Coturnix japonica: one gene and its partners. The protein of the gene in region 1 purifies or fractionates together with the protein of each later gene. This does not show direct contact. Links are inferred from orthologs where the notes say so. Each region holds a gene or a part of one and is shown in the gene's direction. Other genes may lie near its edges.

Region 1 (10,423 bases):
CTTGTAACAGATGTTCTCACAACCACAAGCAGCTCTAGCTCCAGCTCACAGCCACAGCACGTTGTTCTTCATCAGTCTCTCTGTGTGTGCCAAAGCTCTCGCTGTTTCTGACCTCATACTTTATCAGCTGATGGAGCTTGACAAAAGGGATACATGCCACCTCCAATGTGATTTGGTGATCATACATCACAGTGGGATCTCATCAGTAACAATCTGCCCTTCCGAAGGCACTGAGAATCTTTTATCAGCTGCCCACTGCCCTTAAGCTGCACATCAAGGAGACAAGAGAACTTAATAAATCTGAGAGCCGTTTTAATGAATCAAAGGGAGAGATGAGAGTGTCTCTTGTGTGTGGTTTTTAGAACAATTATGGGATTGAGTCAAGCTGCAAATTTTTGGACCCACTGATGTGGACTAGTAGAGAAGAAAGCACAGTGTGTGAAGCTGCCACTGCCTGGAGTTATTTAGTGTGTTGGCTAACAGGGCACAGGCAGTGATACAGGAACACATGAGTAATTTGAGGAAAATATGGGTGATCCAGAGCTCCAGCAAGGAGAGTGAGTTTAATGTCGGTGATGAAGTGGAGGACAAGGGCACCATTTTTGAAAGGTATTAGGGCAGCCCTCCCTCTGTATTTACAGGGCTTTCAAAAAACTCTGTTGTTTGATGGAGAAGAGTGGGAAGGAGGGGAATGTCTGATGAGCTGTACGATGGAAGGGCAGGGTATGATAAAGACTGCAGCAAGAGATCATGCCTTCTTAGAATCATCAGAGCACACAGCCTTTCCCTTTGACTAATGTAGAAGAAGAACTGTTTATCTGCTCTGGCACACAGTGTCCCAGCTATGTTTGGTCAAAGAGTTATAGACGACGACCAAACATCCCCACAAGATCCATATAAGCAGGGGACAGAGTGAGGCTGATTGACTGTGCAGCAGTAAAGCCAAGGAGTTCCAGGACTGGGATGCTTGTAAAATCTAGCACATTCATCTATCATACACCAGATGCATGCACTACATGCACACATTCAGCTAGAACGCCTTTACTCTACAGACATGTAGTTTAAATATAATGGATGCATACACTATCTTTCATGTTGAAGGACAGAGACAAAATTTTACTTCCCCTCACTTGTTTTATGTAGTACATAAAATTGTCCCCTTTGCTTTGTAGTCTTCACAACTTTTCACCTCTAAATGCCTAAAGAATCATAGAATAATTGAATCAAAGAATGGATTGAGTTGGAAGGGACCTCAAAGATCATCAAGTGCCAACTACCCTACTGCATGTAGGGCCACCAACTCCCAACTAGATGCCCAGGCCCCCATTCAGCCTGGCCTTTAACACCTCCAGGGATGGGGCACCCACAGACTCTCTGGGCAGCCTGTTCCAGCACCCCACTACTCTCCTGGAAAAGAACTTGCCCCTGATATCCAACCCAAATCTTCCCTCCTTCAACTGAAAACCATTTCCCCTTGTCTTGTTATTATCTACCCTTTCAAAGAGTTGACTCCCCTCCTGTTTATAGGCTCCCTTTAGGTACTGGAAGGCTGCAATGAGGTCACCCTGCAGCCTTCTCTTCTCCGGGCTAAACAAGCCCAGCTCCCTCAGTCTGTCTTTGTAGTAGACGTGCTCCAGCCCCCTGATCATTGTGGACATCCTCTGAAGCCTCTCCAACAGCTCAGTGTCTTCCTTGTGTTGAGGGTACACCTGGACACAGTACTCCAGATGAAGCCTCATGAGAGCAGAGTAGAGAGGGACAATCACTTCCCTGTCCCTGCTGGCCACTCCTCTTCAGGTAAGAAAGAAAGGCTATTTATTTTATATCAGTTATAAACGAGTCTTGTGAATTTTCCTTAATTGGTTTTGGTTATGTCAGGGCCTTTAGTTAATTCTCCATCACTTCCACCAGCCCTGAGGTAACTCACTTCCCAGGGAGAAAATTCTGCCTGACTTTGAAAACGTGCTATTGCTGAGCACAGAGACTCGCTGAGCAGCCTGGTAGTTCTTTTCAGCGGCAGGAGAGATCCAGGAGGTGATTAGCTTTGTTCTCATTTACAAAGCACCAGAGAGAGTTTCTAAAGGGTTTCACAGGCCCTGGGGATAAGGCCAAGAACAAAACAGGGCAATGAAAAGCAAATAGCGCACTTCATCAATAAACTACATAGAGATGCCACATCAATGGCAAATTAGGAAGAAAAGAAGGCACTCTAATACTTTCACATAGCAAAGGGGGCTTGTATATTGTTTTTACTCCTACTTGACTTCTTTTAAACAACTGTGCTGCTATCAAACTACATACGCAGTGGGAACGAAGGTAACTGCAACTCACCATAAGGGTATCAGTCTGATAAGATTGGAAAGCGAGACATACACGGCTCTGTACCACTTCCACAATAGCGACCTTTGCTAAGGGTTAACGCCTTCAGGAACTCAGTCCTGAGAGGGACTGGGAAGGGACTGAAGAACAGAGAAAAGGCAGCCAGGAGTTATGTGACCGCTTACCAGAGATGCAGATCTGCTGCTGCTGCTTCAGCAGCCCCTGCCAGCCCGTGTTCTAGGCTGAAAAGGAAAATAAAGAAATAAGTGAATAAATGAAAGGACTAGACAAACTCATCTGGCAATTCAGGGACTTTTTCTGAAGTTAAAAAAGAAAACCAAAACAGCGGGGAAAAAAATTGCTTTGACAAAGCTGTGTTTTCAAGTTTAAACCAGCTTCAAACCATCCCACATCGAGCTTGCTCAACAGCAGCTGAAAGACACTAAAGGGAAGAGCAGGGGAGGGAATTTCACAGCAGCTTAATGCTGTCTCAGACGGGGCTGCTGCAATACGGCTTCAACATCCTGCTTGCCCTCACCAGTTTGCAAGTGACTCGAAGTGCTTTGGACTTACATCCAGTGACAGGAGCAAACTGGGAAACAGCAGGAGGAGGTACATCAACTGACTTACTCTTTGGAGAGCAAATGGGTGATGAGTAACCATTTTACATCCATAGAACATTCAGATTTGTAGAGGATTTATGACGTTTTGAGTTACTGTTTCAAGCATGGATGTCCCCTGGGAGTCATATTTGTGACACTGGGTGTTCTCTTGCCTCTACCAACAGACTGCTGACTAGCAGGCTTTACTGAAACCCTCCTGCTTGCTAACAGTGCTTTGGCTTCTTGTCTGCCTCATAGAACCTTTGTCAAAACAGCTAATGTGTTCAAAAGACACTGTGAGAGGGAAGCATCAGCTGCAGTTCCTCCTGAGTCTTTGTAAATAATGTTAAGAGCTCTTCTCTTGCTCATCAAACTGCTCCAATATGAGGCCTCACAGCACAGAGCAGAGGGGCAGGATCACCTCCCTCACCCTGATGGCCACACTGCTTTGGATGCAGCCTAGGATACGGCTGGTTCTCTGGGCTGTAAGGGTGCATTGCTGGCTCATACACAGCTTGCCATCAGTCAGTACCCCAAAGTCCTTTTCAGCAGGGCTGTGCTCAATCCTTATACCCCTTGCTTGCCAAAGCCCAGTTGCAGGCCTTACACTCGGCTTTGTTGATCCCTTAGGGGGGAAGTTCTTCACTAGGAGAGTGGTTAGGCCCAAGGAGGTTGTGGATGCCCTGTCCTTGGAGGTGTTCAAGACCAGGTTGGACGGGGCCCTGGGCAACCTGATCTAGTAAATGTGTATGTTTGGTGGCCCTGCCAGGCAGGGGGGGTTGGAACTACATGATCCTTGAGGTCCCTTCCAACTCGGGTCATTCTGTGATTCTGTGATTCCGTGATTCTGTGATTCTGTGATTCTGTGATCCCTATGAGGTTCACCTGGACCCACTGCTGGATCCTGTCGAGGTCTCCTTGGATGACATCTCATCTCTCTGGAGCATCATCAGTAAACTTGCTAAGGGTGCAGACCCCACTGTCAGCGTCTTTGGCGAAGACCTTAAACAGCGCTGACCCTGACACCACGGCGGCTCTCGGTGACGCCCGTAACCGCTATCCCTCACCGACCTCACCGGGCTGCGGTCGCTGAGAGGCGGGCAGGCTGCGGCAAAGGGAGCGGCAGCGCTCGGTATCGCCCCGCCTCGGCCCGCCCTCCCCGCTCAGCACGCCGGGCCGGCATGGCCGCCTCCATCCCCGCTCTCGGCTGACGGCCGCCCGTCCCGGGGCCGCCCCGCAGCCCGGCATGGAGGAGAGCTCCAGCTGCGAGAGCCTCGGCGCCGGGCGGGCGGTGGCAGCGCGGCCGCCCAGCGGCGATTCCCTGTCCAGGTAACGGCCCCCGCGGGCAGCTCCAGCTCCTCAGGGCTGGGCCTGAAGGGCCGTCCCGCTGCACGGAGCCGTGGCGGGGCGGGGGGAGAACATCGGTGCCGCCGTTCTCCATCAGTGCTGAATGCTGCTCGGGGCGGCTGAGCCCTGTGCCGTCTTATTAACAGGAGCGAAGGTCGTGGGGTTTGTTGAATCCGTGTCGTTTTGTCCCCCGACAGCCTTAGGAGAGCCTGATTTTTTATTTTTTTATTTTACTCTTAATGACATTTTAATGCTGCGTGGGTGATTTCCGAGAGGAAATTACCTCTGCGAGGCTTCCTGCGTCTCGCAGGGTGTGGGAGAGGTGTGGATGCCGTGACTCAGAAGCACATCTTGCGAGGCTGTGAGGGTGGGGCACAGGGAGGACGGACGATGCCCCGGAGGCTGGAGGGGTCCTGCCACGTTCTGGCTGCCCTCTGTGCCCAGGTTGAATGGCCATAAGGATCTCTCAGTCCTGCTGGCATGGCTCGGAGGCCAGGTCATACTGGAAACGTGCAAGGATAGCGACTGCACGTCCTCCATCCCTTTGATACCTTCTGTGTAGCCTCTGGGGCTTCCTGTGGGTCCTTCTGAAGTATTTCCTGCTCCAGGCTGACCAAACCCAGTCCATCCTTATGGGGGAGGTGGTCCAGCCCCCACCCTCTCAGTGGTCTCTCCTGAGCTCCCCTCCAGTGCCTTTAGGGAGATAGAAACTGTATGCAGATCCCAGAAGCACATCAATGAGCACTGAGTTGAGGAGGCGGACCTTTCCCTGCATCTCCTGGTGCTTCCCCTGTGCCTTCATCCCAGGGTGACATTGACTTCTGCTCTGCTGTGCCACCCAGCAGGACCCCCAGGCAGGCAGTGCCCACTCTGCATCGATAGCGCATCCTTCTCATGTCCTCTGTGACCATTTCACTCTGCTTCATCAAGCTCTTCTGTTTTCTGTATCTGTTTCCATAGTGTGCTTTACCTGCCAGATGCCGTTTCTCTTTTTCCTCACTTCCCCAGTATAATTCTCGTCCACTCTCTGCATCAGCTGGGGCAGCTTGGACCCATCTGAAGGTCAGTCACTGTACAGGAAACTGGGACCTGCAGTCATGGAAACACAGCTTACCTTGGAAGAACCTTACTCAGCAGCATGCCCTGTACAGATGGAAGCACTGGGAGATGGAGGTGGTAAATCTGTCTCTGCTGAGCATGCACAGGACTGTCCTCCAAGTCCTGAAAAGGCCTTAACTTGAACAGTTTTCTTGGGGTATTAAGAAGCTTATCTGATAACCTTCAGAATTTCAAGTCTCTGCTCCAACATCTCGATGCAAATACCCTGAAACATATTTGTATGGTTGAATGTATTTTACATTCAACATACAATATATTTATTTTCATCCCTTTCTTATTGTGGTCTGTAAGGTAGGACAGCTTTGAGTTCTGAGCCCTTGGTAAGGCACAGCTGGTAGAGTTTACCATTGGAAAGGTTGCTCACGTGAATAAGGACCTTAAAAAACACACGTGTTAGAATGTTTGTCATTTGGTTGTGCAAATGGGATGTTGGTGACGTCTGATAGTGGAGGTTGCTTTGATGTTTCAGTAGACCTGAGTGATGGTCTGGGGCTTCTGGGGGACTGATAAATACCTTTTCACTGTGCTAAGTAATAGTTTGGAAAGACTCTCTGTGAAATTAATTAAATTAAAAGGTGATATCAAATTGTAGGTGACATTAAAGGTGATAAGGCATTTTGTTTGTGTTGTGATTCCATGTCTTAGTCTCCAAATGAACAAATCTCTGTGTGCTTCCATAAAAAACGTTTGAAAAACATATTAAAGCTCAGTCTGAACAACAGACAAGTAGAATGGCCAGGAGTCTCTCTGTTAGGTCCACTGAAGGTGAATTTGTACTGCCTGTGCAGAAGCGTGGATGTGATTGTACAGGAAGGAAATTGCTGCAGGAGATGTCGGTGATTTTTCAACCTCAGTCTAAAATGACAGACAGAGATAAGGCAGTGGGCAGATGTTTCCTGCCAGCGTGACTGTAGCGATGTTTGATGTTCCCACTTTCTGGTTGCTTGTTACCACCTCTCTGCTGGCAGTTATGCTCCGTAGAGGTCTGCGGGCGCAGTGAATCCTGTGCGCTGTGCTTCATGCTGAAGCATATGAAAACAATCACGCTCCTTGTCCTTAGCGTTTGCAGGGGTAACTCAGAAAACATAAGCTCTGTGTAAATCAGTGCAGCGAGGTCTGTTGAAGCAATAGCTCCACGAGGTATGAACTCCGTTCATCTCAAATAAGGTCCTGTCAATACCTGCTCTGATTTAAGGCTATGTTGAAGGAATTCTTTCCCCACAGATGAGAGTGATGCTGGAAGGAGTTGGATCTGTAAGCTGTTGGCTGAGGAGGGCTCGCTAGCACCACATTGCTACCAGATGTGTGTGATTTGCTGATGGAGTTGTTTTGTGATGAGTCATTGAAGTTAGAGTTTGAAAAGGAAGGGTTTTTGCCAGTTCTGGCATTCAGTGAAATGCGAGTAGCTGTCTTTTTCTTCCTGGACTTTGAGAGCACTTCTTGCTTTTGATTTCTTCTATGCGTGCAGCAGGATTTCTGAGAGTTGTTGCCATTGAAGACAAGTATGTTGCTTGCTGAGTGCTGATAATGAACTGATTCTTTGTATCTGAGAAAATAAACGCTATGCCTAGAAGCAGTTAGCAGCTCCCAGCACACTCATTATTATTAATTTTAATATAGGAGTGATAATTTATAACACTTACTTGCAACTAAGGCCCATTTTGAGATAGATTATTTTTTTCTCAAGTACTGCATATTGTGAAGATAAGGAATAGTTTTGTTTACGTGACTCGCAGAATGAGGAGAGTCTGTTGTTGGGGTCAGAGGATTCAGGTAGAAAACTGATAAAATAAAGCTGTGGAGTCTTTTTGGGTGAACATTTGCAGTGCATTTGTGAGGAGAAACTCTGACCTTTGAAGAATACGAGAATTGCTTTTAGTAGCAGACTTTGGCATCCACATTTCAGTTCCTGCTTCTCTTGGCTTATGAGACCTTCAGCCATACAAGTTTCCCTTTTGGGCACACACAGATTCCTTTGTCCAGATTCTAAACATTCAATAAAAGTGCACATGTTCTTTCTTTTTCTTTTTCTTTTTTTTTATAAGTGTGTTTTCTATTTGAGAATACAAAATGCAGTTGACATTCACCTGTTTCTTGCATTCTAATTCATGTTAAATTATTGGTTAGAGGCCTTATGAGAATTTGGGGTGCCACAGCTTTAGCTGCCATACAAATACAGAAAGAGCTGATTTCTGCATTGGAGAGCCAGGGCTGCTCTATTTTTACCAGTGCCTGGCGGGTTGCTGTACTGAGCTCTTGGACGTTCAGTAGAGCACTGTGGCTCCTTGCTGAGAGATGGAGCGAAGAGCGAGAAAGTCTAAGAATGAGATGAAAAACTGCTGCGGAGAGATGAGGCCAGATCTGACAGCTGATGAGGAATAGAGTGAGGCTGAGAACACGGCCCTCTGGGGTCCTATCAGGCACTGCCTTTTCTGAAGAGAGATGGTGCTATTATGTTGACTAATAGTCTGTTTGCTAGACAGTTTTGAGTCTTACGCATAGTCCTGTAACTACAGGCTATTTACAGCAGGAACACAATTACAGAACCTGAATTGTAAGACTTGGGATGACCCAATGATGTCAGTGACACATTCCTATGTATTATCTGATTCTCCTCCTGCTCTGACTTCATTTATAGGTTAATACTGATCTTCAACAGGTTAATTATCTGTTTCTTATATTTTAATGGTTGCATTTCTTCTCTTCTTCTATTGTTTTTGACCAAAGGTAAGAAGTACATTTAGAAAGGTCATAACACCTCTGGAATGGCTCAGAAGAATCAATAGCCTGCAGCTTCTTTTTTGTTAACATTTTCCTGATGACCTGCTTTACTGTGAATGTTTTTTTAGTGTTGAAGGTATTAGGTGGTGTAAAAGAGACCTGATCCATACCCCAAAGAGCTTAAGTTACCTGAGAACTTAGTTGGGATGGGGGAAGAAAAGGGGAAGAGCCAGCATGCATTAGAAATGCATCAGAAGCTTTCCAGAGGTTGCCATGATCAGGTGTTATATACAAGGTGTAGTTGTATAAGAGGCCATGAAAAATATGATGCTGTAGTTTGTCCATGGGAAACCCATTCCACCATAAAGAAGAGGGTGATGGGAAGGTAATGAAGTGCTTCGCTTGTAGAGGTGTTAGGGATAATAACCCAGCAAAGGGAAGGTACAAAAAGGATATTGTCACGGTAATTACCCCAAGTCTTCATTTTTAACTGGAAAACATCTGGCTGTTTTATAGCCCCAGTAAGTAGGAGCTAATTGAAGAAAAATTCTGTGAAAGACAACAACAGAAAATCAGTGGAACTTTTCAAGTATTTGTTTTTCCTTTTCCTACCATCTGTAGTTTCCTTTGCCAGACAATGTTCTCACTCAGTAATTTTCCAGTGATTTCAAGGTAGCTCTTTTCCTTGCCTCTGTTGCCTTTCTGCTCCATGAATTCTTTTCCATTGCTTTCTAAGCCCTGATGTATTTAATGAAGAAAAACTGTTAGTAGTTTTCAAGTCCATAACCCCTTCAAAATGATATTCTAGTCATCTTGCTATCTATGCACAAATGCTCCCACTTGACAGACCTTGCCTTTCTATAGGCTTCTGGCAGTGCCTTGGGGACCACTAACGTTACATCACCCAATGGTACGGATTTGATCTGGATCAGGTGTGGGTACGATCATGTTTCTGCTGTCAGAGAGAACAAACTTAGGGTGTTTTTTTCTTCTTTATTCTGGGAAGATGGGCAACATCTGGTTAGAATAAAACAACAGTTTTATTTGGATTAATTCATTGTGAAGTAAAGAGCCTATGTCCTGGTACAAATTGTTACACTTGAAATATTGTTCATTGGTGAAAGGGCAGCGTGTCTTTATATAGCCAAAATTTATTGTTAGTGTAAATGAAATCTTGAAAGTCTAATCGTTATCAGTCTGGATGCGCTTGATACAGAAAAAGGAAGAACGATGAGTTACAAGTGTCATAGACTCAGGTTTTTAGTTTCAGCATCTCTTCCTGGTGCTGGGCTCACCCCTCTCCGATGCCTCTTGGTTCCAGGCTGATGGTGTTACTGTGGCCCTGGTGGATTTTACACAGTGCTCAGCATCTGGAGTCCTTTGCCAAGAAGAATGAGATTCACGTTGATGGTTTCTTCTTTCCAAAAATTATAATGGTAGAATGAATATACAACTTAGGTTTCTTGCATGTCTTACGTGATGTGTTTTTGTGCAAGTTGTTTTTGTTCATGTTTTTGTTTGTTAGTTTCCCTGGCACAAAAAGGCACTAATATGTGCATTATATAATATTTGAACTCCTAAACCACAGCCTCATTGGTTCCTCTTCCCTTACCTGAGAATAAAGAATTCTTGTTATATTAAGAGGCCCTATTGATTTTGATTCACACCAGTCCTTCTTAAAGACAAAGACTGCAAAGATGGATAGGACCAAACTCATCAGTTATTTCAGCAAAATCTGCGTGTGGATGAGCTGAAGCCAAGGAGTGAGTTGGTTGTGTACATCTATAGGAGCTGTCCCACAGGGAAGTGACTGAAACCTGTGCTACCAGAGATAGGCTGCTGAAAGATGATTGTCCAAATCAGCAGTTGGGACACCTTTAACAAGTAAAAACTGATCAGCATCGCTGGTAAAGAAATACATGGAATCCTCTGCTTCCATTTTACCCAAAGTGGCTTTTGGAGTAGGATTCTCTTGAAAATTCAAGCTATGTTCTTCATTCTAGTAGCAGACATTCCATTTTGACACTGACAGTGTTCTGTTGTGTATTTCACCTCCTGCTTTCATCTCTCATAAAGAAAAATACAGACCTCTTGGATAAACTTTCTCTCATCTCACTGCAGACCTCTCTGACGCACATCTGTGCCAGTCTCTGGATTTCTTTTTGTAGACAATGGGAATGAAGTAATTCATATCTTTTTCTTCCCAGCAACTGCAAGGAGAGCCTACAGTAATTCAAATGTGAACACCTACACAGAACTCTCTCCCCATCTTGTGTAAGGGTCAAAAAGTGTACTGAATTTGGCTTGTTCTCCAC
Region 2 (9,732 bases), on another chromosome or scaffold:
CCTCAGCAGCTCAGCCCTCTTAACACGCCACACACACTTCCTTTTTCAAAGACAGTTCTTAGATTCTGCTTTTAGAAGTAGTTTTTACTGCATTTCTGTTGTATTATTTGGCAGCACAGTGGGATCTTTTTATGCCTTTCAGTTCATCCTCAAGCCTTGAAACCTGATCAGCATAGCAAAAAGCTTTCATCCTTCATGCCCATAAATGAAGATTGTGAGTGGCTCTAGCAGCAGTTGCTCTAATGAAAAGTTAATGAGAAAAATGGAAGTCGGAATGTAGATGTCTGCACATTTCCATTTTGCTTCACTGTCACTGACGAACAAAATCAGCCCTTTAGAAAATGCCAAGCATTACAGAATCGCTGTTGCCTTATTAGAGTTCTTCAGCTTTTTGAATTACAAGGTGTATTAGAATGTGCAGGGCTTCCAATTACTTCTTGATAGTTATTAATGGCTGTACCAAATCCTAGATATGAGCTAATAAACGGTTGTGCTAGGCCATTTCCCTGTAACACTTCCCTGTTCCTTTTTCCATCCTCTGTTTTGTATTGCAGCTCTGTGGTAAAACTGAAAGTGGTGGAGAAAAGGCAAAGCAACTGTTTTGTAAAGCTGAATAGGAATTGTTCTGTTGGGGAGTTGTGGGGGGGAGAAATAAATCAGCTCTAGTTAGTCTGCAGTCATTACATTGCAGGAAGTGTCCCCATCAAAAGCCAGTCTCAATAAAATACATGGCAAAGGTTCCATAATGCTGCTCACACGTTGTATTCAATTACTAGTAGTACAGAAGTGTTCTCCATGCAGAACTTAGCACAAATGAGCTCTGATGTGTTTCCCGTTGCACAATGATGCGAGTAGTCGTATTCCTTCAGCTGGTGTAATGAATATACTTCTTTTATGTGTTTCATAATAAAACAACTTTCCTTCGCTTCCATTCCTTGGAAGCACAGAAACTTTCCCTTTTACTTGTTGGTGATTTTTCCACCTGAAAGCAGTGACAGACAGCAGGACTTGACTGCTGACCCGATATCTGATCTTCAGCAGTGAGTTACACTCTTAGTTTTAACAAGACAAATTCTACTAAAAAGGACTCTGTTTGGAGAGAAATCGAATGGCTTATAGCTGGTCCTGAGACTGCTACAAAGAATGTGAAAGTTTAGACAAGTCTCCTCCTTGTGCTTCAGGCTGATCTCTGCTGTTCTGGAGATGCACCTCTTATTTGAAATCTCTGCTGAATTTCTCTTCCCAGGGCAGGGGCTGTGACTCAACCTGGTCAAACCTGATTGCTGCATCAGGTTGTCAGAGATGCTGTTGGTGCTTGCTAAGCCCGCAGGCATCTAGAAGTGATGGGCGCGTTTCTTTCCTGAATGAAAACAAGCCATCTGAGTCTGAAGCTGTATGGGCTGGGCCAGACTTAGCGAGGCTGACACGTTGCTGTGTTTCAGTTGGCTCCTGCTTCAGTTCTCACAGCTGAGCAGTGCGAAGAACTGCAGTTCCCCCACCCTTGACAAACAGCACTAACATGAACATTTTGTTTTTACTGAGTTTGGAAATTGGTGGAGAAACTTCAGCCTCTCATTCAACGGGTAAACTACAAACATCAATAGAGCATCTCCCACTGTGCATTATTCATTTGCAAGCAGCATATGGAAAAAAGCTGCTCTTTATTACTGAATAATTTGCTTTTTACTTGCATTCATAAGTACTTTTTACAATTTTGGAACACAATATAGTGTAAAATTGACATAGGTCCTTCAACAGGCAACCTCTTGTTTTCCCTTTTAATCAGTATGGAGGTAGAGCACCTAAAGACTGGTTTTAGGTTTTGTTATTCTTACCATAATAATGGACAATAAATTTTATGTAGATAAGCATTAGTAATAACTGTTTCTATCCTAGGTGTGCCTTGCAATAGCTCATTATTCTCAGCCAACGGATCTTCAGCTTCTCTTTGCATTCGAGTATGTTGGGGAAATATATCATAATCCAGGTATGTATGAAAATGTTTTCGTTATTCCACAATGTGTACATTTAGTAAGACTTCTATCCAGAAACAACAGCAAAAAGTGAGTCAGTAGGGGTAATTAAAGTGGCCTGTCCTGCAGCCAGTCTCTTACTATCAGATGCAAGTCAGTCATCATGATAGACTTTAAATACCAAAATCAAAAGAAATATCTTGTGTGAAACAAAGCTACTGATGTCAGCATGAATATTTCTCAATTCACACTTTGATCCTCCTATCAGCATATTGGTCTCTACTGGTGCTCTAGGTGCCTAGCTAATCTCCCATCAGGCAGGCTCATTCACCTGCCCTTCTTTTGGGAATAAGTTTCTCTTCTGGTGGTATTGCAGGAGGATTTGTGCAGCTTGGGACTCCAAACCTTCTTTCCTAGAGGCTTACTAGGCAGTTCTTCCCACCCAAAACCTCCACCACCCCTGCTGAGTTGGAGCACACCCTCTCTGCTCAAGGCCAATCTCCAACTGAACCCTGTCAGTTAGGTAAGCCTGAAAAAGATGCCTTTGGAACTTGATTTCTAGTGTCATGCTGTGCGGTCACTGCTTAGTGTTCCCCAGCCAATATACAGCTGAAAACCATCAGTTCTAGCACTGCAAGCCTCCAAATAGCAGAAGTACCATCAGCGTAGTTCTGTGGTACTGAAATATTTACCCAGCAGCTGAGATTAGAAACCACTGATCTGCCTGGTACTAAATTTGAATGTTGTGGAATTGTAGGCTCAGACATTCAAATTTGTACAAAGACGAACATTTTCCATGCAGGTGCCTACATGACCGCCATGTGCATGCACAGGAATGAATGTGCATGTGATTATATTGCACGCGTAATTACATACTATCTTACCTGGTAAATCTTTGGTGGTTTTTAAGGTCTGTGTATGTTAGTGTAATGAAGTACCAGGGAGGAAGTCATTTTGCAGATAAGAGGACAATGAAGTTAAAGCAGAGCATGAACAAAATACGGATCTGTCGCAGAGTTGCCTTAACTCTGTTCTTAAAGTACAGTTTGTTATATGGGGAAAAACAAGTAGGGGAACAGTTAGAAGAGGTGGGTAGAATGCTTATTCCTATGGAGCAGCAGATCAGAATGGCAGAAACTGGTCATTCTGTTACGCTGTAGTTGCTAATGGGAAAAGCTTGAAGCACTTGGTGTTGGTTGATACTGTTTTTAGCTGGAAGATCTCCATGTATTAAAGTGACCCCTGGTTGGTTTGTGGCATGGATCTCTGGCTTTGCTCCTACCACTCCAGCACTGTGTTCTGTAACTGTCTGTTCTCAGCAATCCTGGTACAGTGGGACTTCAAATAGTGTCGTTATACATAAAGAGCCTGCGTTGCTCTGGTGTACCTGGACATCATTTTATCCTAGACTATGTTTGATAAATAACTGTTGTTAAGCAGTGAATTTCTTACATGAACCACCAGGTAATTATAGTACTCCTCTGTGCACTCTGTTTGGAAAACTCCTTCATTCTGAGTTCTGTAGTTTTCTTCAGAAAGAATGGAATTGTAAAAAGTCCGAGTGCTCAAGTTGACAGATAACACAAGTTAGAAATTGCACTCACTGACATCACAGTGGAGTGACTTCTGCTTTGCTTGTGCAGAATTCACATTGTTCCTTCCATCTTTACGGTGCTTACTGGGAGCTTTCCTGGGGGAAGTCTCAGCTTCTTTCACCTTCATTTAATAACTTTGCCAAGTACGGAGGAACAGAATGCAGTCTCCTTTGTCGCAGCTGGCTGCCTCCTTGGCACCTAAAGAATGACCAGCAAGGAGGATTTTCTGTAATAATAACAGGGCATATCATCTTGGTCCCTACCCACAAAGCGATGGGCCGGGTGTGCACGTCTGTGTGTGTGTATGTACATATATAACAGGTATTTTAGAAAATAAACACTATGAAACAGTTTTTAGCGTAGTCTTCACTTGAGTTTTCTTTTTTATTAAATAGATGGTAATTTATATGGAAAAGCTGTTGAAATTATGTACCAAGTATTTAATTCATGCAGAAGACAATTAAAGGGCAGTGTTTAACAGTTAGTTATTTCTGCAACATCTGTGACTTTGGCATGTTGAAGAGAGAAATCTTGTCACTGAAGATAAGCTCTGCTCCTGGCCATTAGCATGTCCTGCTTTGTAGTGAGCAGCACAACACTCCAGCTTTATACCACACACCAGCTTTTTGTTGCTTCTCTGTTGACCTCGCAGGAAGAAAATGCATTTGCATCTTAGCCATCATTGAGCCAAAGATCTGTGTTCATGCAAAAATAGGTAAAGCTGGTCCGATATTAGTGACTTGCTCTTGTAATTAGGAAGATAAATGTTTTATTTTTTTAATGTGCATTGATGAATTTTCTTTTCCTAGCAAAGAAGGTGAATGGAGTGGACCCAGGAGGCGGCGGTGGCAGCGGTGGAGGCATCAGCAGTGCCAGCGGTCAGCAGACACCTTTGTTTGAAACTTACTCTGATTGGGATAGAGAAATCAAAAGGACGGGTGCATCAGAGTGGAGAGTTTGTTCTGTCAATGAAGGCTACATGATATCCACTTGGTAAGTTTTTCTTATAATGCAAGTAAGCATAGAAGCAAACAGGGCAACTACACTGTCTTTGATCCTCTAACAAAGTTGCAATCCCACCTAACTCTAATTTAACTCATCAGAGTGCTCTATGGAGAGAGCCCTCCACTGGAAGGTCCTGCAGGTGCCATCTTTGTAGGAATGCCCTGTTTTCAGAGTGTTGGATCTGGCATCCGTTTCTTTCATGCTCTTATACTTCCCCCTGAAATTTGCATGTCTGTAAGCAAATACATCTGAGCTGTACACATAGGAGATGCACATGATAACTACTTAGCCTATTAACATTTGGCACAATAGAGTTGTGTAGACAGTATTGCAACAAGAGAAAAGCTGATAAAAATAATAAGGAAAAGTAACTTTTTGTTCTGTGTTTGTCTCCCAAGCCTTCCAGAATATTTTGTGGTCCCTTCTTCCTTAGCAGATCAAGACCTTAAGCTCTACTCCCACTCGTTTATTGGGAGACGAATGCCAGTAAGTAAAGCCTTTGTTCTTTATTAATACAGCACTAAAAAGAAGATATGTATGCCTGTTAACATGGTTATAAAGAGCGTTAAGGGAAAAAATGCATGGAATAACACAAACATGCTTTGCTGGTTTGTGTTTTTTGTATATTAGTTATGGTCCTGGAATCATCCCAACGGGAGTGCCCTTGTCAGGATGGCCAGCATTAAGGATGTGCTGCAACAAAGAAGAATTGATCAAAGGTAAAGAATTAGTTGATGTTATCCTTTAACACAGCATAAAGCACAGGGCAATGGTGTGTAACGTAGAGCAGCATTCTGTAATGCAGAGCATGCTTTTTCTTAATGTTACAGTGTGAAAGCTTGAGAAACTCCTCTGAGTTCAGGCACATGTTTTGAGCCAGCAGCTCTGTGGCAGGAGCAGTGCATCTCCTAAAGATAAACATGAACTCGTTCTTTCTTAACAAAGCATGTTTTACAAGTTTTTAGTGTTTTGCAGTTTGGAATGTTTCGTAAGTACTCTCCCCAGTAAAAAAAACTGATGGTTTTTTATTTTTACTTCTTTAATACCCAAGGATTTGTAATGCAATAACTCGAAGCCATCCCCTGAGAAGCGATGTTTACAAATCTGATCTGGACAAGTGTCTCCCCAACATCCAGGAAATCCAGGCTGCGCACATCAAACTCAAACAACTGTGTGTTAATGGTAAGCTGAACAGTCTTCCTCTTAGTGGTGATTTCCTTGGACTACAATTCTAATAGATCTGGCTGGCAGGTGTAGTTATTCATTGTTCTGCAGCGTTACTGCTTTCCTTGTTGCAGAGCCCTTCGAAGAAACGGAAGAGAAGTGGCTGTCCTCACTGGAGAATACTCGCTGGTTAGAGTATATCAGGTTTGTGTCATTAATAAAACGATGGTACATGAGGTGTAAAAAACTTGCACAATGTAAGAAGTGATTCAGTTGAAGGATCTGCTATTTTAATTAACAAATTAGGTAAAAAATAGATAGGAATAATGTTTTTTATTTTAGAGTGTGAACCTGTAATATTAATTGTTACATCACTTTCTTTCCCTGTCTAGATCATTTCTTAAGCATTCTGCTGAGCTCGTGTATATGATGGAGTGTAAGCATGTTTCTGTAGTTCTACAAGGTAATACAACCATGCCCCTAATTATTAGCATTATTGACGTAATGTACACAAACACAATTTCTTAAAGTCAACTTATCATCTTTATGAATGATAAACACATCACTTCTAAGTATGTTAAATATTCAAGGAACTGGAAGACATTTTATTACGTGTCTGGGCTGCATTATTGTCCATAACATCAAAGGGGTATTTCACTTAGAGCCCTCTTGTTTTTTCTCTGATAATGACAGAATCAGAACTGCCCCGTGGACTTTTGCACTGTGTTGGTTGGGCTAATGTTCCTCGCATAAGCAATACTGCTTTAATTCTAAGGGCCCACTCACCAGCTGATGGCACTCAGTTACACCAGAGCAGCCAACATCAGTGCAAACAGACATTCTAGAAAAAATACTCTGAAAAACTTTCTGCTATCTGGATCAGAAATGGTGTCATCTCTGCCCTTTTACAAGACATGTTCAACTAGTGTTGCACTTGCCCAGCACTGGTTTATTAGCATTCTAAGAATTGCTTCCAGGTAAAACATGTTCAAGCTCTCCCTCAACACCATCACCCTCCTTCAGAGCACCTCTTCCAAGTACCAGGCTTTCCAGGGGATGCTTTGGTTCTTTATGACTGCGTTGCTGTGCTGGATATGTAGCAGGAACCATCAGTATAGGATGAGTCTCACTGAAAATATCTAGCTTTTCTTTGAAACTGAGAAAAAGTTTGAATTAAATGCAAAGATATTTATTTCTATAATTATAAATTATTTTAAAGGAAATTAAAAACTAAACTCAGTTGCCAGCTTGTGCTCTTTGGGATGTTATTCTGTGTATGTGTATGCATATACTTATATACACCTTATATATTTCCTATGTTCTGTGTGTGATTGCAGAGGAAGAGGGACGGGACCTGAGCTGTCTTGCTGCTTCCCTTGTTCAAGTCATGCTGGATCCCTATTTTCGAACCATTGTTGGATTTCAAAGCTTGATACAGAAGGAATGGGTCATGGCAGGATATCAGTTTTTAGATAGGTGTAACCACTTAAAGAGATCTGACAAAGAGGTAAAAGTGCCTTTCTTCTCCTCTGATAACAGCATTGTCTTAAACATTTACTCACAAATAGTCTGAAAGTAAAAATGTTTTCCATGCTTTGAAATATCATGAAGCTGACATTAGAGTAAGTGAGTTGCTGTCCAGGGCAGAGAAATACTGTTTATCTGTCGTTGTTGTGTGAGATCTAATCAAATTCCCTGTTTCTCTTCCCAGTCCCCTTTGTTCCTGATGTTTCTCGACTGTGTTTGGCAGCTGCTAGAACAGTACCCAGCAGCCTTTGAGTTTTCTGAAATGTACTTGACGATCCTGTACGACAGTGCACGTATCTCACTGTTTGGCACTTTCCTTTTCAACTGTCCGCATCAACGAGTAAAGGAAAGCACTGTGAGTATGAAGCATTACACCCCCTGTTCAGTTACAGCTGGTTGTTCCAGAAATAGCAGCATCTGCACTGAGCAGTACTCCTTTGTGTTCTCCAAAATGTCACTCTCTTGTTTGGTGTAAAATACTCCCCAGGTGAACATGATCACAGTGTCCTTTGAGGTGAGCTTTGCATAGATGGTAAGAGGGTTCTGGAAGAAAGTTTGTTGAATTTCCTTTTTTCTACATAGTTTTGTTTATTTGTATGTTATTACTTTCACTCTGCTAAGAGACAGATGTATTTATGTCTGGAATTGTAGAATGCCAGGCAGTGCTGCAGGGAGCAACCTTACAAAGAAGTAGAACATTGAAAAACCACAAGTGGATTCTCGGAATAAGAGTTGAAGGGTTTTAATAGTGAACACTTTGGTACCATTGAGGAGTGCTTTCTGCTGAGTGTTAGTCCTGCCTCTCTGCTGCACAAACAAAAAGCAGGGTGCAGCAGTTTCCTCCAGCAGCAGACTGTCTTGTTGCACTGTTCTGATCTGCAGCTACCTCTAAGTTATGTCTCTGCTCTTCTTCACCGGGTTATTGCACACTGCTATGGCTCAGATTTGTGAAAGGCATTTGATTTGTAACATGCCGAATGTTACTTCTTGCAGGAATTTGCTATAAGCAAAAACATTCAGCTGGGTGATGAGAAAGGCCTCAGATTTCCTTGTGTTTGGGACTGGTCTCTTCAGTTTACAAGCAGGGATCGCCTGCTCTTTCACAACCCTCTGTATATTGGGAAGAGCGCACCGTGTGTGCAGAACGGAGCAGTGAAAACTTTCAAGCGCTCAAAGGTAACGTTGGTGACTTCTGGTTGGGGATGGGTGGGTTGTGCTTAACTGTAATGGTGCTTAAAAATGTGCAAGTACATGTGTTGTACACTGTCACTTAGGAGTGCTAAGGCTTCTCTTACCTTCACAGCCTTAAGAAAGGGTACACAAAGGGTCTTCAGTAGAAGCCTGTAGCTGTGTTCCAGGACATTCCCTGATTCACCTCAGCTCGCTGCTGACGGCTGCATTATTTCACCTGTGGAAAAGCAGCGACACACTCCTTTCTTTTCTGCAGAGTTGTCAGTTTTGTCAGTGAATGCTGATGACTTCAATTGTTTGTTGTTTTGCTAAGTCTGAAAAACCTAAGTATTTCTTCCTGAAGGCTTTAAGTGGCCCCATTTGGTCTGTGAGCCGTGCAATGGCTCCTATGTGCAGAACTGTTTGAAGGTCAGATCGTTCAGCTGGTTAATGCTTCACAGGAGCTCAGGGAGATCTGCTGCAGTGAGCATAAATGACCAGTATTTCTTCTCTGCAGAAAAACTACAGCTCGACGTTGCGAGGTGTCCCCCCAGCATTAAAAAATGGAATCATCAGTGAGCAGGAGTTCCTTCCAAGAAGAAACTCTCTGATACTGAAACTGAAACCAGACTTCTTACAGCAAACAGAGAGTCAGAGTAATAGTATGGAACAGTTCTTCAGAGACTGGTTTGCAAAGCCTGTTGATTTGCACGGCGTAATTCTGCCCCATCTCTCTGGAACACAGATCAAACTCTGGAAACTGTGCTACTTCCGCTGGGTTCCCGAGGCCCAGATTCATCACGGTGGCTTCATCGCTGCTTTCCATAAAGTTTCTTTGCTGGCAGATGAAGTGGACATGTTAAACCGGAACCTTCGACAGTGCAAAAGCAACTCTCCTTTGCAAGGTAACTGCTCAGAACTGGATCAAGGCAGGATGTACTTCAGAGCCAGTGGTTTAAACGACACCTCTGGGGCCCCAGACTTTCTCTCCTCCTCATTCCCGTTTTCACCTGTAGGGAACCTGTGCAGACGGAGCATTCTGGGAACGCCTTTAAGCAAATTCTTAAGTGGTGCCAAAATCTGGCTATCCACTGAGACACTTGCGAATGAAGACTAAGATGATGTGGTGGCCTACAGGTCCGGGGAGGGTATAGCATATCATTTTGTCTTTTCTAATTTAACACTGCTAAAGGCAGCCTTGAAAGCTGTAATAATTTTATATACAAACATTACGTAAGTTTTGCACAAATATTTAAAAGCAAAGCGAGTCAGGCTTCAAATCGCACAAATTTGTCTTC
Region 3 (9,732 bases), on another chromosome or scaffold:
CGTTTAAGACACGTATCAGGAAATACTGTATATCTTTTAATCAGAAAAATGTGGACTCGAAAGAAGCTGAACAAAGCAATAGCTCCCCTTCTCTGTGTTTAAAGTTTTTGCACTCTTGATCTCAGACTTGACGGCACTGCAGCCTTGTTACCTGCAGACCAGAATGAGCTCTCATTCTTGTCTGATGAATACTTTGATTGAGTGAATTACTAGTTATCAGAATCCAAGCAGCATCAAGCCACAAAACTAGAAAACCAAGAGCAACCCCGAAGTAAATTACTTCTGAGAGCAGTACTGTGCTGTATGCTTTAAAAGTACTAGATTTTTTTTATCTCAAACTCTTACCTGAAAGACGTTCTAGCTAAACAGTTGACATATCATACTGAGTCTGCATGGAGGCCAGAGCAATGCTTTTAAGTGCCTCTGCATTCTTATGTTTTTTGTGATTTGCGATAAACAAGAGCTGAACTCATACTCTAAATATGTGATACTTAAATTAATTACTTATGGAAATTAGAAGGTTGTTTCTTTTTTTTTTAATCAAGAAAATAGCACAGATTGCTCTTACAAACTTCATAGCTAGCCTATCATCTTTTAAATAAAACAGTGTTCTTTTGAAATATGTTTGTTATCTCAGATTTGAATGGGAAGCTCAGTAGTAATAAACAGTGTAGCCAGTTCTTTCTGGGAGAGCTGAGAGAAAAGTGTTAGTTTGTTATATTCTTCAAAGAAAAAAAAATGCATAAAATTAATATTCAATTCTATAACAATACATAAGTGCAATTTTAAGCAGTATTTAGCTGCAGCTTCTGGTCTATCTGTCTAGTTTTCAAATCTGAATTAATCACTTTTCAATTGAGCCCACAAGCTTCTATGTGTAACAGCTGCACAGAAAAAGAATCATTCCACAATTTAATAAATATCATTGGGCAACACTGTTTAGGCTGCTAGTTGATCTTCTGATCCCATTTTTACTCTTCTGGAGTGTTCTCCATGCGTCCTGCACTAGCATACAAGTACTTAACTGTAAGACCACTACACCCGACTGTGATGGTTGGTGATAATGGTTGAGTGAACCTGATTCTGGAAGTATATAATGGTGCCTTTAAGTTTGCCTTATAAAATATGCTCTGCTTCCATCTGGGCTCTCACCTCAAAGTAATGCTGCCTGGTAGCTACTGCCTCATAGCACTGTCTCCTGGTAGTGCATGTGGTTCACCAGTAAAATAATCTCTCCTGCCCGTTGTTGAGGACTTTGCACTAACAGATGTCTTCTTTGGAGGTGATGCACCACTGTCCTTTTTTGCTTCTTGCATTTGCCTTCAGTAGGTTCAATATTCAACATCAGAATCTTCAACTCTCAAGTTCAGAAGAGATGAAGTGCTGTGCAAATTGAACATAAACGCTTAGTTTCCAGAGTCACAGGATATGAGTATTCTCCTGCCACAGCTTTGCAAACTCGTACTCAAATTTTCATGTACTTGGCATCAAACTTCTGATCTGATAATGTATGTTCTGAAGCTTTAGTACAGTCTGTCAGTTCCCAAGACTGTTCATTTCTGTGGCATTACTACTCTTGAGCAAGCCAAATAACATCGGCTTTTCTTTGTTCTGGTACAAAGCAATTAACTTTGCTGTTTTCTTTGGATGTTCTCCAGTGCTATGCAGTGTCAAAGCTCTGGCCTGGTTCCATAACTGATGGGGTGGAGGGACCCACAAACCCATGCCTTAGGAGAGGGGATAGAGAAAATATTGGGAGGTGAGCCTAAAAATAAAACAGTGGCAGTGAGCTAAGGGAGAAGACTAATTTGCTAAATGTGATAGCAGGATGCAAGGTGACACAATACAATTGGAATTGAAGCTAATAAATAAAGTGAGATTAGAGAGTGTCCAAAACCAAAGGCCCTACTGTAATGCTGAAGGCAAGGTGGTCAGGGAGCACACGGTGCAGAGATGAGCAGTAAAAGAAAGGGCAGTCTCATGACTTGAGAGCAGTTTCATCTTTCCCTCTGAATGGAAAATGGAAATGGAATAGTTAAGTCTTATGGGATTTCTATTTTTTCTCTTCTAAGAAAGGTATACCCAGAACTACTGACAATCCACAGACTTGGTGGCCTAACTATTAAACTCCCAGTGTACTACATGATGTTACGATATAGAATATCAGTTACAAAAGTCATAAAACCACAAAGTGATTATCAACAACTGGACGCACTGCCAAATCTATCGCTGAATCTTTTATGCACTGGCAAAAACTCTGCAGCTTGGAATGCATGCCACACTTTGTAATTGAGAGCTAATATAATGGATGGCCATCACTTGGTGGTACATGTGAGTAAACTGCTTTTTTTGTTTTGTTCAGATAACAGTACGGACTTCTGGGCAACTGATGTGAAGTGGTTTTCGTTGTTGGAGAGCACAAACTGGCTAGAGATCATCAGGTTTGCTATACCTATAACTCTTGTTTTCAGATTGTTGCTAGTTGAATTTCTAGAGAGTTTTCAAGAATTTTCTTTCCTACTGGAAAGGTGAAGGACATCCTTGTATTTCAAGAAACTAAGACAATATTATGGTCCTATTTATCTTTCTTCTACAACATAGTTCACCATTTCTACAGTGCAGAACTGTGTTAAGCACCCCACTTTTAAAAGATTGGGAGAAGCAACAGATCATTCTAATGACAGTTCTTTTAGGAAATCTCTTAAAACTATGGGTCTGTGAATTTCCTTCCTGTACTTAGTCAGCTTCTTTCCAAACTGAAGTATTCTTTCTTTCTTTCTTGCATGAAACCTGTTCCATGTCTGACTAGCCTTGCCATTCTTTGTACTCTCTACTTCTATAATATCCTTTAGGATGGGATGAACTGCAGTATTCAAGATGTTAGCCCACCACAGATTAATAAAATGACAGTTGTTCTCAGTTTTGTCCCCTTCCTCTCCTGATTGTTCCTCAAGTTCTTTTTCTTCTCTCAGCAATCCACAGTGAGTAAGTCTTGGAATGGTGTTGGCTGGCATAAGGCTTGTTGTAGTGGAATGTTGAGGTTCTTTTCTTTGTTTTCAGTGTTACTTTGTGCTGTCTGAATTATCTGTTGGCTTATTCTGTGATCAGCTTGTTACTATGAAGTACTTCTTCAGTTTTTTGCAGTCAGCTTAAGTTCATTCTGTGTGGAGTAATAGTCAACAAATACTGACGTTGATTGAATGAGAGGTTCTTGTGAAGGTCATATGTTGGGAAGTCCATTGACATAACTCATTTATTACGATTAACTAAAGTACATACCAGCCCAAACTCCTATCCTTAGGTTGCTTTGAGACTGGTCATTCCATACTTGTATGCAGTTACTTTCTGAATCAGTATATTCTTGGCTCTTGGAGTCAGTAGGAATGCCCTCTCAACCACACTAAAGAATCCAACAGCTTTACAATTGGAGACTAAACCGTTCACATCTGTCAGTGGCCTGATCAGCTGTAAGAATCATCATTTGCATGCAAACATTTTCACTAAGTGCCAACTTCATCAAGGGTTAGGGCTAGAAACCAGCAGTGTAAGTCTGTTTTTACATGGTCTTTAACTCCACTCAGTCATCCTTGTGTAATGATAATCTCTGAATAAGCATTGTCTGCATGCTTACAACATCTGATTGCTGATCTTCCCCTCTCTTGCTCAAAAACAGATTGTGGGAGAAATACACCATGTAGCAGGTTGGAAAATAAGTGAGGCTATGTACTAAGAAAAAGATCTGGATCTCAGCAATAGTAACGCTTCGTCTTTGTAATGATTTGTACTGATTCAGAATCAAGTACTGTATGATGAATGTACAGAGCTAACAACTGGAAATGTGTGATTGATTGCTAAATAAGGATACCTCCTGGAAGCTTGATGTTGAAATGAAGTGCTTCTTCATCTGTAGAAGATGAGTGAAGTTTTATATTAAAAGAATCAGCAAGTCTCAGTAGTGCATTTTAACTCCTTTTTAGGGAGCATCTTTTTTTCTTAATAAAAAACATTTTAATAGCTAACTGGCTAACATCTTAATGGTTAAACTAATCTCTTCCTGTACCACAATAGGCGAGTCTTGAAGAAAGCTATAGAAGTTGTTGAGTGTCTGGAAAGGCAGCATACAAATGTTCTCCTTATTGGTAAGAAATTAATGAGATTATCCTATTTTATATTATTTCAAATTTCAATATATTACCCTATTTGTAGAAATAATTCTGATTTTTCTTTTGAAGTTTTAAAAATGTAGCTTAAGCTCTCGGTTCATAAAAAATATGGTAGAAACTGGTACAATTGATAAGTGTCTGCTACTTTAAGTGTGCTAAGATCACATGTTCTTGGAAATACTTACTGTAGCTTAAAAACAAGACTACCAACAGGACAAACAAACAGGAAAAAAACATAAGGAAACATTCAGTAAGCATGGCTCAGAGCTAAGAGGAATAGATTATGAAGGAGAAAGCTGCTTATAAACTTTTATGCAAATTGTACTGTCTCTTATTCATTCTCATTTCCTAACTTATTTTTAAGGTCTTTTGCTCTGTTTTGAGGCTGAAGAGAGAGGATGAGCTTCACACAGAGCATAGAGAATAAGAGCTTTTTAAAGTGTTATTTTTGCTCTAGATGCACACTAACATATATAATCACTTTACTAAAAAGTGTATGCTTACTGTATACATCTTAAGCAGTGTGTCTGCCCAGACTGATGAAAGTAATCGCATAGAAAACCAAACTTAATGTTAACCAACACCCTTTTTTTCTATCAACACTTGAGGGATTTTTTGACCACGTTACCATTTGAGAAACCTAGCTCTGGAAGACATTTCTCAAAGGCACGTGAATGACAGAAGATGGATATTGCACAAGGGAGCAATTTCAGCACTGTTGTACACTCCTTACATTATGTCTCTTGTGTGCATTTAGGAATACTTAAAATCACAGCCACACCTTGTGCAAAGGTGCATGCAGAACAATAGGGAGAGGATTGAGTAGCTGGTATAATAACTTAAGGCAGGAGGGGGCAGTATGTGCCCTGTGGGAGACTGAAAGGCATAGGGATCAAAATCAGAGTATTGAAAGTTTGCTTTGTATTTTGTCTAGCATATATGTCCAAAAACCTTTGTTTTCAGAAAAAAAAAAAATAATAATTTTAAAAAACAGTATTAGAAATACAGATTTAATGTTTCTCTGATATAACTTGTGAGGAATTGTGTGCTTCTGTGTTTTAAAATACAGTTTTGATTTGTAACATGCAGTTAGTAATTCTTTGCTTTGTTACCCAAATTTTAAGGAATGGTTTAGACAATGCAGCTTTTTCTTCTCTTCTGTAGAAGAGAGTGCCACTGATATGTGCTGTGTAATCTCCAGTCTGGTTCAAGTGATGATGGATTCATACAGCAGAACAAAGCTGGGATTTCAGAGCCTTATTCAGAAGGAGTGGGTAATTGGAGGACATGGCTTCTTGGATCGTTGTAACCATTTACATAAAAGTGACAAAGAAGAGGTATATTTTTCTTTAATTTTCCTTACCTGTTATCTAAAATTTTATCTAGTTTAAAGAGGGGCTTAGCTGTCCATCCAGAAGCTCCTTTGTTTTTCTTTCTGCTTCATGGGTGAATATTTGATATAGTATTAGTGTTTCTGCTATATAGAGTTCATCAATGCCTTTACAACTAAAGAATAGACATGAAATTTCAATTCAGTCTGTGAGCCTTTCAAAAAAGACTTGCATCTTGTGTCCTTTTAAACTGTGAAATAGTTAACATCCATAGAAACAACTTAACGTGAATTATGCGTTTTTTGTCACAGCTCCATGTTTGTATTTTGGGCATGAATCAGATTGCTGTAAGGAATTGCAATCATTGATGCAAACTGTTCAATTCTAATTAACAGTTGTTATGAGCTAGTTTTGCAACTTAGAAAGTGGCTCCTCTGCAGCCTTGTATAGTGAGCTAATGTGTAAAATTCAGCTTAGAAAGTGTTGCTCTCTTCTGTTAACAGCTGGCTTGGGGTCACTCAGATGATACTGCAGAGTTCAGCCCAAGCTGTATACAGCAATTCCATAATTCCCCAGGTTGTGTTCTTTGATTTGAGTTTGTAGATGCTAAATACTGTAAAATAAATGGTCTGCATGATAGAATGTACTTTTTTGTGTGTGTGAAATTGATGAGATGTTTTCTTTCAGGCTCCTGTGTTTCTGCTCTTGCTGAACTGTGTCTGGCAGCTGGTACAACAGTATCCTGCAGCATTTGAGTTCACAGAAACTTACTTAACTGTCTTGTCTGACAGCCTCTATGTGCCTATATTCAGCACTTTCTTCTTCAACTCACAACATCAAAAAGACACTACTATGGTAAGGGTTTGTTTTGTGAATGCAGTCTGTTGGATAACAAGTTTGACCAATAGGCAAGGAATACTCAGAAAAAGAATAAAATCACTAGTAGCGTGTTTTTTCCTATTTAATTGAAGAATGGTGCTTTGGAGGTGAATCAGTGCAACTTTGGATCTAGAGAGTCATGTCCAGTACCTCTGAGTGTATGATGACAAGATGAAAATAACTCAAATCTGTTACTTCTGGTGTGGGGCAGTAGTTCCACATTCATTACTTATCAGTGGAAAACTGAGCTGCTTAACCCAGGCTGTCCTGCAGAAGTTACCTACAAAATTCTTCTGTCACATACTCTTTGTTCTAAAATCAGTGGTTTTTGGCTGTTGATTTATATTTGATTAATGCTTTTCCTTAGCTTAAGCAGGTGGAAGTAGGCGGTAAGGAGCCTAAGAAATTAAAGATCACTGTTTAGCATACGAAGTGCTGAGCATAACATTTAAATTGGCATCACTGCATGACTGCAGTGAAATAGAGAGGTTTATTCCATAATCCTGACATGCCCTCTGTGTTGGAGTTCAATTATCCATTTCCCACCCAGCTTTCAGAATGTTTCTTAAGTTCACCTTGACTTGGTCAGTAATCCTTTCTAACTGTCTTAGTTGTGACCTGTTTGTTTTGGCAGACCGGTGAAAGCCAGAAGACACAAAGCAGTCCTTTCAGATTCCTCACTGTGTGGGACTGGTCTGTGCAGTTTGATCTCAAGGCCCAGGCTTTTCTGAACAACCCTCTTTATGCAGAGAAACCAAAACCAGAAAAAAGCCAACGGAAAACAGCACGATTCAAAGTAAGATATATATATGTATTTTTTGCTTAACCTGTTATTTCTATAGCTCAAAAATAAGAAAAAGTAGCACAACTTGGTTATACTTCTAACATGCTTACAGTAGCGGTATTACCGTCAACTATCAATTGACAAAACGTGTACAGCTCAGACTCATCTAGGTCTTGAGTGCTGCTTGCATCTCTCTCAGCTTTTCAATCAGTCTTCCATGGTTTCTGTGCACAGCACAGCTTTTCTTACTACTGCACTTGCATACAGCTACTAACTTCTTCCTGGAACTTAACGTTCAGGTGAGTTGTAATGATTTTAAGTTATTTTATTGTTTTGTTCCAAAAGTACTTAATTGAATTGCATAGCAAGCTTGTAATTGCCTCCCTGATTTTTGCCTTGAGTGTAATGGGAGTCTGTGCATGCGTTAAGAAACAAAACAAACCCAGAATCAAACAACATCAAGGGTTCAGAGTATTGAGTGGATCACCTCATTACTGGCAAATAACATAAATTCAAAAAAAGGAACTTATTTGGGGTAGCTGTTCTGAACTTTCCCTGTTGTCTAAAGTCTGTTTTGTACTAAAGCATTCTCAGGTGTGACACTGTTATGACACACAGTGTAATTTGCTTCTATAAAGTGGCAAGTAATGAGGAAATGTAGAATTAAAAACTTCTAAGTCAAATGCGCTTTGATTTGTATGGCCATCTTAAATTAAACTTGGAAATCTGTGTACTTGTATGAAGGGCATTTTCGTGTTTCAAGGAATGCTTTGTTCAGTGTTACTTTGCTGCTGTAGTTGCAGGCGAAGTAGATGCAAATACAGAATACTGTGTGAGTTATTTGATACGTTAGCCATCAAGAGTGGCAGACACTATAGCAAAGGCCAGGCTGTGTTTAAGTCACTTCATTGCTTTTAGGTATTTAGTGAGGTATAACTGTATTTCTGAATACGGTTTCAATGTTTTTCTTACTGAAGATTCTTAAAGTGTCATCAATATTTATCTCAGTATATTTTTATTTTCTTTTTCCCCTTAAAGCATCAACGGCAGCTTTCTTTGCCACTGACACAAACAAAGTCTTCGCCAAAGAGGGGATTTTTCAGGGAGGAAACAGATCATCTAATTAAAAACATTCTAGGTAAAAGAATTGGCAAGTTCATTAATTCTTCAGATGAACCTCCGAACAGCTTCAGGGAGTTTTATGATAGCTGGCATAGTAAACCTGTTGATTATCATGGTCTTCTGTTGCCTCGCATCGATGGACCTGAAATCAAAGTCTGGGCTCAGCGCTATTTACGATGGATTCCTGAAGCGCAGCTTCATGGCGGTGGTACAATCGCCACAGCCGCCAAGATTTTGGACTTGATGGAGGAAGTGCAAAACTTGCAAGTGAAAATGGATGAAGAACATAGTCAGGCTGTTTCTGGAGACATACACGCTGTTCCAGTGCTGAGGAATTCTGCTCGTTTGTCATCTTTGTTTCCTTTTGCTTTACTTCAGAGACAGTCTGTCAAACCCGCTTTACCCACGAGCACCTGGAAAGACTTGGAAGATGAGGATGACTTGGTCAAGAGAGATGATGAATTTGTTGATCTAAGTAGTGATATGTTATAAAGTCTGTATAAATTTATGTACGTATTCTATGTGGTTAAGCTCTGAGTTTAAGATGTTTTGCTGTATCCTGATCTAAAGAACTCGAGTACCTACAGCCTGCTGAGTGGGTTTGTAGGGTATAGGAAACTTGGCTGAGTATATTTTGAACTTTGATTTTACTCTAACAGTATTTATTGCAGAAACGCATCTATAGAATAGGTTTTTTAAAAATACAGATCTAGGCTGCCATGAAATGCAGCCATGAGGCTGCTTTATGTGAAAACATTTTCTGATTCAAAGGTAGAATACTTAAATGTGTGCAGCAACAGTTATGAGGAATCTGCAGACTTGCTGAACATCAAACCTTCTTCCTTTTGTGCTAAAAACTAATAGGACCTATTAATACATCTGCAGTTGTTTACCATGTGAAACGAAGAGGGGAAGGTGAAACTAAATGTGCTTTCAAGCATAAGTTTTTACAACTGAGGACAAAACCTGGGGATTTCTGTCTGATGTGGCATCAAATGAAGTCATGTGCTTGTCAGCCTCATCCTTTCTAGCGGTGTACATGATTGGCTTGCAGAACTTGACCTTGTGTAGTGGTATAATAGCAGCTTGGCTTTTCTGAGACTCTGCTTGCACATAGCTCTTGCACCTGATCTTTAAGCTAAACTAAACATTTCAGGACCTGTTGTGTCTGCTGTCATACTCCCTTTGCTGCCTTGGAAAATTAAGTCCCAAATGTTTGCTGTTGATTGTAGGAAATGGCCTGACAGAGATTCTAGTTTGTTATGGATATTCTTTTCCTCTCATGTAGATGAGGAGATTTTTACTCTAATTTCCCTGCATATGCCATTTGCCTTTGAGGCTTTCTGAAGCTTGCACTGAGACCTCCACATGGAAGGGAAGACAGTCTTGAATTTGCAGCTTGTTGCCACTTGACATGAGTTAGTGGTACAGCTTATGAATGTGGCTTTCATAC

What was found.
Region 2: the proteins of MTMR2 (region 1) and MTMR10 purify together in Homo sapiens (affinity purification with mass spectrometry; 5 studies listed by BioGRID and IntAct, with this or other methods). This does not show direct contact. The link is inferred for Coturnix japonica from reciprocal best matches to the Homo sapiens genes MTMR2 and MTMR10.
Region 3: the proteins of MTMR2 (region 1) and MTMR12 purify together in Homo sapiens (affinity purification with mass spectrometry; 5 studies listed by BioGRID and IntAct, with this or other methods). This does not show direct contact. The link is inferred for Coturnix japonica from reciprocal best matches to the Homo sapiens genes MTMR2 and MTMR12.

What each region holds. Positions count from the first base shown.
Region 1 is NC_029516.1:165,631,970-165,642,392, forward strand, and holds the start of MTMR2 (myotubularin-related protein 2), read left to right. Parts: upstream 1-4,067; 5' UTR 4,068-4,167; coding exon 4,168-4,250; intron 4,251-10,423. UniProt on the Homo sapiens protein: Lipid phosphatase that specifically dephosphorylates the D-3 position of phosphatidylinositol 3-phosphate and phosphatidylinositol 3,5-bisphosphate, generating phosphatidylinositol and phosphatidylinositol 5-phosphate.
Region 2 is NC_029525.1:4,815,915-4,825,646, forward strand, and holds part of MTMR10 (myotubularin-related protein 10), read left to right. Parts: intron 1-1,896; coding exon 1,897-1,987; intron 1,988-4,377; coding exon 4,378-4,561; intron 4,562-4,971; coding exon 4,972-5,059; intron 5,060-5,203; coding exon 5,204-5,292; intron 5,293-5,624; coding exon 5,625-5,755; intron 5,756-5,871; coding exon 5,872-5,941; intron 5,942-6,129; coding exon 6,130-6,200; intron 6,201-7,074; coding exon 7,075-7,244; intron 7,245-7,448; coding exon 7,449-7,619; intron 7,620-8,257; coding exon 8,258-8,440; intron 8,441-8,951; coding exon 8,952-9,551; 3' UTR 9,552-9,732.
Region 3 is NC_029547.1:8,937,790-8,947,521, reverse strand, and holds part of MTMR12 (myotubularin-related protein 12), read left to right. Parts: intron 1-2,362; coding exon 2,363-2,441; intron 2,442-4,068; coding exon 4,069-4,139; intron 4,140-5,327; coding exon 5,328-5,500; intron 5,501-6,181; coding exon 6,182-6,349; intron 6,350-7,007; coding exon 7,008-7,169; intron 7,170-8,195; coding exon 8,196-8,771; 3' UTR 8,772-9,732. UniProt on the Homo sapiens protein: Acts as an adapter for the myotubularin-related phosphatases. Regulates phosphatase MTM1 protein stability and possibly its intracellular location. By stabilizing MTM1 protein levels, required for skeletal muscle maintenance but not for myogenesis.